Linked DNA regions of Neurospora crassa OR74A. The protein of the gene in region 2 purifies or fractionates together with the protein of the main gene of each other region. This does not show direct contact. Links are inferred from orthologs where the notes say so. Each region holds a gene or a part of one and is shown on either strand. Other genes may lie near its edges. The genes, in order: NCU02510 and NCU07438.

Evidence for each region.
Region 1: the proteins of NCU07438 (region 2) and NCU02510 purify together in Saccharomyces cerevisiae (affinity purification with mass spectrometry, with the first as the bait; 3 studies listed by BioGRID). This does not show direct contact. The link is inferred for Neurospora crassa OR74A from reciprocal best matches to the Saccharomyces cerevisiae genes LAS17 and CHC1.

Annotation. Positions count from the first base shown.
Region 1 is NC_026501.1:2,558,414-2,562,777, forward strand, and holds the end of NCU02510 (clathrin heavy chain), read right to left. Parts: coding exon 1,684-4,364; intron 1,613-1,683; coding exon 1,268-1,612; 3' UTR 714-1,267; downstream 1-713. UniProt on the Saccharomyces cerevisiae protein: Clathrin is the major protein of the polyhedral coat of coated pits and vesicles. In yeast, it is involved in the retention of proteins in an intracellular membrane compartment, presumably the trans-Golgi.
Region 2 is NC_026501.1:624,892-629,371, forward strand, and holds the start of NCU07438 (WASP-like protein las17p), read left to right. Parts: upstream 1-1,460; 5' UTR 1,461-1,682; intron 1,683-1,861; 5' UTR 1,862-2,261; coding exon 2,262-2,471; intron 2,472-2,527; coding exon 2,528-4,196; intron 4,197-4,273; coding exon 4,274-4,305; 3' UTR 4,306-4,480. Other genes in the region: NCU07439 (hypothetical protein), read left to right, coding at 481-552, 635-796.

The DNA.
Region 1 (4,364 bases), about 1.9 Mb from region 2:
GGGGCTCGGCGGCAGTTTCTGGGCTTTCTCCGGGTGGGCGTTATTCTGGTATTGGTTTCGGGGGAAAAAAAACACCAAATCCAGGATTTGTAGATGCACCATGATACCTCTTATTGGCGACTTCGTCAATTTAGCTTGATCTGAATCTACAGTCGAGCTGCGGCCTCAGAGACCGACCGGCATCATGCCGGCTTACCCTACCTTCATGAACCTATGTGAAACAAGGATATCTCGTCCTTTGGCCTCTCGAGTAGATCAGTTCTATCCCAGTGACAACTTGAACAGCCAGCCACCCATCATCGGCGCGTGGCGCTTCATCACTTTTCGGCTATGGCTGTTTTGCTCACGATATATATATATATATTTGACATGTGCAGACTCTGTGGCATAGATACGGCATGTCCTTTGGCGCCATCGAGTTATTTGGAAATTTCTAATTGCCCTTGGTTGAAGGTACTAACGGCTGGCTCTACATGATGGTTATCAACCGTCGCTGGCTATCATTGCTCAAAGAACGAAGCAGACGGGCCACCTAAGCACCAAGGACTGCATGATCATTACCATTGGGATGGAGTATGTACGGATACCACATCATTGTTGCAACCGCTTGGCATTTGTAATGCTGCTCCGACCGTAGGGGAGTCTTGTGGACGATAATGCCAGTGATGGGGGTTGTCTCCAATACTATCTCCGTATGGTTACTACACCAAGCACAGCTGCTGCGTGATGCTAGGTAAAGGGGCATGTTTTCTAGCTTTGTAAAACTCCGGAGCACGTTGGAATCTCTCCCTGAAGTCAAGTAACAGAGGGTACCTGATACGAACCATGTAAAGTGGCACGTTTGGACCATGACACGTAGTAATCAGAAGTCAATCAAGTCGAAGAGCTCTGATTATGAAATAAGATATCATACATGAAATTTATAACAGACCATGAGCCTCTAATGATCTGGCCAACATGAAAAGCAATAAACCCTGCCATCCGTCTTTCCCTTTCGTTTCCCTTTTTCATCCCACAGACATTCGCAAAAAGCCATTTACATCTCTCATCTGTATGGGTTGTTTTATTCTCCAGGTCATTGAAATCGTGGCATATCAGCAAGATTGTCGTCCACCATGAGACAGCCAAGCGGAACAGCATCAACAGGATCCAGTTAAGGGGTACCTGAAACTCCAGAATCCTGATGGTCTTCACTGTGTAACATGAAGAAACCGGATGCGATCCGTCCAGGATCATGGATGCATGGAGAAACTACCAGGGTAGCCCTCTAGAAGCCAAAACCGGTAGGCTGCGGCACAAAACCGTTGGTTTGTCCGTAAGGAGCTGGGGATGCCTGGCCGGGGCCGGCAGTGATCATAAGCCGGTTGCCAAGAATGGGCGTGTTGTCCTCGACCTTCTCCTTCTCCTGCTCCTTAGCCTTGCGAGCCTCGTTGTCGGCCTTCAGAGAAGCGAGCTCCTTGGTCTGCTGGCAGAGCATGTTGATCATATAAGGCATGGTAAAATCATTGAGACCATTGCGCCAAGAAAGCTCCAGGACAAGGTCGGGCCTGATGAGGTCATAGCAGGCATAAAGCATACCAACGTAGCATTCGCGGTTGCCAATGTCAACGAACTACAGAGACAAATGTCAGTAAAGGAAGCCAACGTGACTTGATGAGCTTGAAGACAAGAAAAATAACTTACGTAGCGCAGAAGCTCCTCGACAACTTCCGTCTTGCCGGAGATGGCGGCCGTCTCAATAGCATCCTTCCAGAGCTTATCCTGCTTGGAAAGGTTGATGGACTTCTCCCAGCGCTTGTTCTTGCGGTAGATGCTGGCAGCAATTTGGCGGAAGAAGACAAGGTCGTGCTTCTCCAGACGACCGGCAAGGTCCACGGCGTCGTAGTTGTCGTAGTTGTTCACAGAGTCGCGCAGAGTCTTGTAGTCCTCCTCCTCAATGAGAAGATCATTGATGGCGTCGTTAACGGTCCGCTTGTTCTGAGATTGGACGCTAAGGAGGAAAGGCTTGATCAGGGGCAGGTTATCGGACTTCTGGAACATGCGGACAACACGGTTGACATCGATGCGCGGGGTCAAAACCTGGAGAAGATCGGTGAGCAACGAGGGATGTTGCTCCAGGTAGAAATTGATGGCCTTGTAGTAGATTTCAAGGTTGGCCACCTTGACGGTGATCTCCTTGAACTGCTGGTGCTCCCAAGAGTTCTCAGGGCGCTCCATAACGGCGAGAGCAGCATTGTCAAACTCATCGTAGTGGTAGTAGCAGAAGACCAGCTCAGGCCACAAGTTGGCTTCCTCGCAAGCACGGATCATCTTGGGGAGGTTCATTCTGCTCCAAAAGAGTTTGAGGTGCTCCATAAGGCGCTCGGGGTGGTATTTAGACAGCGCAATACCCAACTCGGTGAACATTCCCATGTGGGCGCGCTCCAATCCAAGACCCTGCTCGAGCAAGCTGATGAGCTCATCAAAGTAGCCGTTTGTCTCGTACTGCTTGACAAGAGCCTGGAGTTGCTCAGCATCAACAATAAGGTTGAGACCGCAAATCTGAGCAAGACGGAACTCCTTCTTGTTGACGCAGGCCTCGTGGACCTCCTTCCACACCTTGATGTTGTTGGCCTTGCGGGCGCAGTCCACAGCCGCCTGGTAGTCGGACAGGTGGACAAGAGTAGTGGCCAGCTTAGCCCAGTTGGAAATGCTGGTGTAGAAGATTTTGGCCGCCTCAAAGAAGCCCTCGGCGTACGCCTTGTCACCAGACTCCTCAACATTGGCAACATTGGTAGCACGCAGGAACTCTTCAAGCTCAGGAAGTTGATCGAGGCGGGCGTAGCAGAAAGCAAGAGCAGTGTCAATGACAGGCTCCCGAAGGGTCTTGCGGGCCATACGGAGGTACTTGATGAGCTCTTCGTTCTTTCCAGCAGCAACGGCAACCTCGATCACTTCCTCGTAGTTCTTCGGATCCTCGGCCTTGATGTAAGATTCAATGGAATCGCTGACGCGGAGACCATCAAGCTGAGCCTTGGCAACTTTGCTCCAAACCTGAGGAATATCAACCTCCTCGGCGTATGCTTGAGCACGGTCAATGCTAACGACGTGCTCAACAAGAACATTGACAGCGGCCTCCTTGTTGTCAATCTTCTTGTAGACCTCAAAGGCTTCCTCGTGCAGGCCAACCTCAATACAAACATTAGCAATCTCGTCGGCGGCGAAGTTGTCGAGCTTGTGAATGTAGTCCATCACACGGGCCTTGTCAGCCTTGGCGGCAGTGAAGATAAGCAAGTTCTGCAGGTTCTGGTTGTCGCTGAAAGGCGACGGCTCCAGGACAATCTTCTCCAGCAGCTCAATAAGCTCGCCAGGCAAGTCGGCGTTCAGGAAGCACGTAACAGCCTCGGAAACCTTGGCGGGATCAGTCGACTCAGGAACGGCCGTCGAGATGACTTGGTCTACGACAGAACGGCGGTGAACGTTGTTCTCGCTGAGCACAAACATCCAAAGTTCCCTATCAGCGCGCTCCAAAAGATACCTCGCCTGAGCCTTGTACATCTGGTTCTCGTTGGTGATGTTCACGAGTTCGAGATCATTCTGGCCCTTGCGATAGGCAATATAGGCCAAGTTGGGATCACGCTTCTCGCAGTACTTTCCAACAGTGAGGGTATCATACTGATCGTTCTCCTTGAGGAACTTCTCTGGGTTGTTGTTGGAGTCAATGTATATCTTGGCGAGAGCGTTGTAAACAGCCTGCTGCTGGTTACCGGCAGCGAGGGTAGCCTCCAGGAAGGGCAGGAGTAGCTTAAGGCGGTTACGAGTCTCAACCTCCTGCACCAGCTCATCGATAGGGATAGATGCGGGGTTGACCGTGCTTAGGAGATTCCTGATGATGCTTTCATCACAGTCCACATCGAGCAGTCCTCCGATGACACCAGGAGTCCTGCTCGGGTTGACCTGCTGCACGTAAATCTCAATGGACTTGAACTGCTGGTGCTGGTACAGGTAGAGAACCAGGTCATGAACAAAGTTGAAGCGATCGCAGACAACCATCAAAGGAAGCATCTCGCTGAGCTTGGCCTCCTTGAGGAAGTTCTTCACCTTCTCGGGGTTGTAAACGCTGTTGTCGCGGCAGATACGCTCAACCTCGCGAATTTGTCCCATCTTGGTGGCAGCCTCAATGTACTTGAATACGACTTCGGGGTCCTCGGTGACATTGACGACACTGGCAAGGAAGTAGTAAAGACCTTCAGCAGTCTTGTACTTCTCAAAGAGATCAATCAATTGCTGCGCGCCGAGGAGCTCCGCATACTTGGTTGCGACTTGAACGACAGTCTGGAGATTCTGGCGAATATTGTGCTTCATCATGGCGTCCAGGCAGTCAA
Region 2 (4,480 bases):
ATAGTAGCGCCCGGGACGGTATCACGGTATCATGTGTGTTGTATGTATGTACTAATGGCGGTCCCTGAGTGGTTCCCTCCAGTCGGAGTCAAGATCCAATGCTCCGTCTTGTCGGTTTGATGCGCTGTTCGTGGGAGGTTTTAGCAGCTGTCATTCAGTGTGCCTGCCGCCGCATACCTACACTAGTAAACGACGCGTGACCACCCCCAGGCGACGTCATTGTCTTACACCCTCTCTTTTAGGCCCCTTGTACGTGGTACGACGACTACAGGTTTCTTCCTATTTATTCCCTTTTGCTCATCCATCGTTTTCTTTTATAAAAGAGACCCTTCTCGACCTTCAAAACCTTCCACTTCTACACCTTACCCATCTTCCTGCAAGACGATATCGAAAAAGTTGATCAAGACTCCTCTCAGTTGTCTCACTACGACCCACTCCTCACGAACCATCAAGACAAGTCATAACATCAAGACCATCACAATGGCCGGCGGCGACGATCTCAGCAAGAAGGAAGTCAACATTCTTCCCCACGACACCCAGAAGGACGAGCAAGTACGTTACCATTTCCTCCCTAGTCTGGTGCCTTGTGTGAATCACAGAAAACAGAAAACTGACTCTTTGGCCAAACAAATAGAAGAACCCCAACAACCCCCTCAACAAGCTCGCTGATAGTGCCAAGGCCACGTTCGAGCAGGCGTCAAAGGCCATGCCCGGTCCCGCCATCTCGCAGAACATCGGCGGCGAGGAGGGCACCAAGGAGGAGCGCAGGGCCAAGGCCGAGACGCTCAACAAGTAAAGATATGGACTCGGACAAACAGGGGAATGGATGGAATGATTGCAATGACTGAATGATACACACACATACACATAACATAATTGAACTGTTTTGACAATTACTCTGATGGATCAGTCCTGTTGGAGCCTAAAGTGACTTTGGTGGTGGAATTGCGCCCAAATGAGAGGGGTCTGGTCCTCGAAAGTTGTCTCAAATGGGAGCAATGTTAGCATGTGAAGGTAGGTAGGTACTTTCATGTCATCCCATGTTCGTACATACCTACACTACTTTCATCCTATATCAACCTGAGCCATATAACCTCCAAATGCACATGGAAGTTGTTGTCATTGCCAGTTTCAACATGTCCCTCAAACACCCAGCTCTCGGAGGAACCGTCTCGTTGGACATCCATCATCACGGCGGGCAAGCGAAAGGTCGGCTGTGCAAGCGGCGGGCGGGAATAGTGGAGGGGTTCAGTTGAGGGATAGGTACCCACTGTTAGTGGACACGGACAATTGACGCCCTATCCACCCCCGGCACAATGTCATGACGCTATCTGGTTCATGTCCACAAGTTGGTCGCTTCCCGTCGGAAATTGGTCATTGTGGCTTGCTGGGGTTTCGTTGCCATCCTGATTCCATTCAGTCAAAGCCAAACAGCCCGGTCGTTGCCGCCGCCGTAGTGATGCAACTCCCAATCCCCGTACATAGTGTAGTTAAGTAGTGTACACTCACTGCATGCCTAAGGAACCTCTTGCCAGGTACACCCGCAATTCAACTTCCTTCTTGTCTACCTTGCAATGGGACTTGCTCCTCTCTCTGTAGTCTGTACAGCTTTAATACATTGAATTTTCACGGCAGATTATAACTAAGCTTGCCAACTGAAGGCTGCTGGATCATTGTCCGAGGTACGTTATTCCCAGCCTGCCGCCGTCTCTTCTACTCAGTATCTGCTTTTGCTCCTTTCAGTCATTGGACATCCGGGCGGCCGAGTCTTCCTTATTCCTCCCACCAACCACCAAACATCCGTGCCTCCAATACCCAGACCTACCTCTAGCTAACCGGCAACTTCCATTGTCTCTTCTAGGCTTCCGTCAACTGCTTTTATTCCTACGCGGCAAGGCCACGGAAGCGCGGAGCTTTACTTTATCTTGTACCGACAAGATACTTGGCCGTCGATAACAAGCGCCAACGACCCGAAAAGCATTAATACGACATCCCACTTCCGACTTGCTACCTCACCCTTCGGTCGACGTTGCCCCCCTCCCCTCGCCGACCGACCCGCCGACCGGATCAAGGCACGACGACTCAGCTTCATAACAGTACCTCTCGGCGCTGCGCCCGCCGGCCGAGTCCTTCTACCGAATTTCCGCATAACGACTCCCAATCTATCCATGCTTTGCTCCCCCTGGACGATCTAAAGGGGACGACAGGCCGCAACCTACCTCAAGCCACTTCCACGCTTCCACCCCCCATATATATTCACGATGCCGTCCATCCTCAGCGACGACGACAAGGAAACGGTCAAGCGCTGCGTGCCCAAGCAGACCAACAAGATCCACGCCGTCGCCGTCGCCAGGCTCTATGTAGCCTACCCCAACCCGTCCAGATGGACCTATACCGGCCTCCAGGGTGCCGTCGTTCTGGCAAATGATCTCGTGGGCAACACATATTGGATCAAGATGGTTGATATCTCGGTAAGTGTGAAAATGACGATTGCGTGGCTGGCCACCATTTGGCTGACATCGGACAGCCCGGAAACAGGGGAGTGATATGGGACCAGGAGATCTTCGACACTTGGAACTACAACCAGGACCGTGTCTTCTTCCATACCTTCGAGCTTGAGGAATGCCTGGCTGGCTTGTCCTTCGTGGACGAGAAGGAAGCCAAGCAGTTCCTCAAGAAGATGAACGACAGGGAAAAGAACGCCAGCAAGGCTACCAGCAAGACACCTTTCGGAGGCGCATCCCAGGCACACCACCACAAGCACCACGGTCTTTTCGGCGGTCTGTTTGGAGGACATAAGCACGCGTCTCCGACAGCCACCCCGCCCGAGTCGCCACGTGCCGCTGCACCGGCAGGCCGTATGAGAGCTGGAAGCACTAATGGAATAAACGGATACAAGCCTCCTTCCGAGTTTGCGACCCTGGATGCTTTCGATCCCCTGTGGAGGGAACACTTCGGTGACGACCTCAAGGCCCAAGGCCTCGACGACGACTTCATCCGCGAAAACCAGGACTTTATCATTGAGTTCTTGAAACAGGAGCAAGCGAAGCAGGGTATACACACGAGCACTCCTCCGCCGCCGCCGCCGCCGCCATCCGCTCCTCCTAATGGTCCCGCAATGAGAGCTCCCCCACCACCTCCTCCTGCTGCTGCTCCGCGCAGTGTCTCCGAGTCGATAACTCCATCGACCTCTAGGAGAGGGCCAGTACCCCCGCCTCCCCCTCCAGCAAGGAGATCCGGCAAGCTCGACACGGAAAACCACCAGGAACCGGCCCCTCCGCCGAGATTTGCTGTTCCTCCTCCCATCGCCGATGCTGGCAAGTTTGCCCACTCTGATCCCCCGCGACATACGCCCTCTGCGCCTGGACCTCCACCACCTCCCCGGCCGCCGAAGACGCCACTCGAAGATCAGGACCCGAGCCAGAGGTTCAGCGTTCCTCCGCCATTCACAGGCCAACGAAGTGTACCCCCGCCGCCTCCCAGCCGTAGCTCTGTTCCTCCGCCACCGCCCCCGAGAAATTCAGCTGCGCAACCTCCTCTGCCTCCCAAGGCACCGGGACCAGCACCTCCCCTCCCGCCTGCGAGCTCACGGCCGCCCCCCATGTTGCCAACTAGAAGCCCGGCACCACCGCAGGCACCGCCTCTCCCGACCTCGAACGCGCCACCTCCGCCGCCTTTACCGGCCACCCAGGCGCCTCCACCACCTCCCCTTCCCGCAACCAGCGCGCCTCCTCCGCCACCACCGGCACCGCCAGCACCTCCGGCGCCCCCTCTACCCGCAGCACATGCTCCCCCGCCGCCGCCTCCCATGCCACCCATGCCCGCACCATCAGGCGGCGCACCGCCTCCGCCTCCGCCTCCTCCACCGGGTGGTATGGGTGGTGTCCCTCCCCCTCCTCCTCCCCCTCCTCCAGGTGGTATGCCTCCACCGCCCGCCCCTGCCTTGCCACCTGTTGACGGCAGTCGTTCGGCCGTGTTGGACGGCATCAAGACCGCGGGAGGTATCAGGGCGTTGAAGAAGGTAGACAGAAGCCAGATTCGCGATCGTTCCGGTGCTGCTGTTCCTGGTGGCTCCGATAGTGGGCCCGCAAGCAGTGGATTGCCGCCCGCTGGAGCTGCGCCGGGTGGCGGTGGTGGAATGGCGGATGCGTTGGCGTTGGCGTTGCAGAAGAGAAAGGAGAAGGTTAGCAAGAGTGGTAAGTATCTGGATTATCCCTGGCTTGTGAAGTGTGAGAGCATGTCGAGAATGATGCTAACACTGGTGGAAAAACAGATGATGAAGATGATGGTGATGATTGGGACTAAGTGCCCGATACCAACAATGACACGGTGAAGAGCCACCGGAAAACAACAAGGTTCCAAGTAGGAGAAGAGTGCAAAAGGAATGAAAAGCAAGACTGGAGAGACACCGATATCCAACCATCATCCATTCATCTGGTCGTTATTTGGCCATAGAGGAGATGATGACGGCGAGGATGGG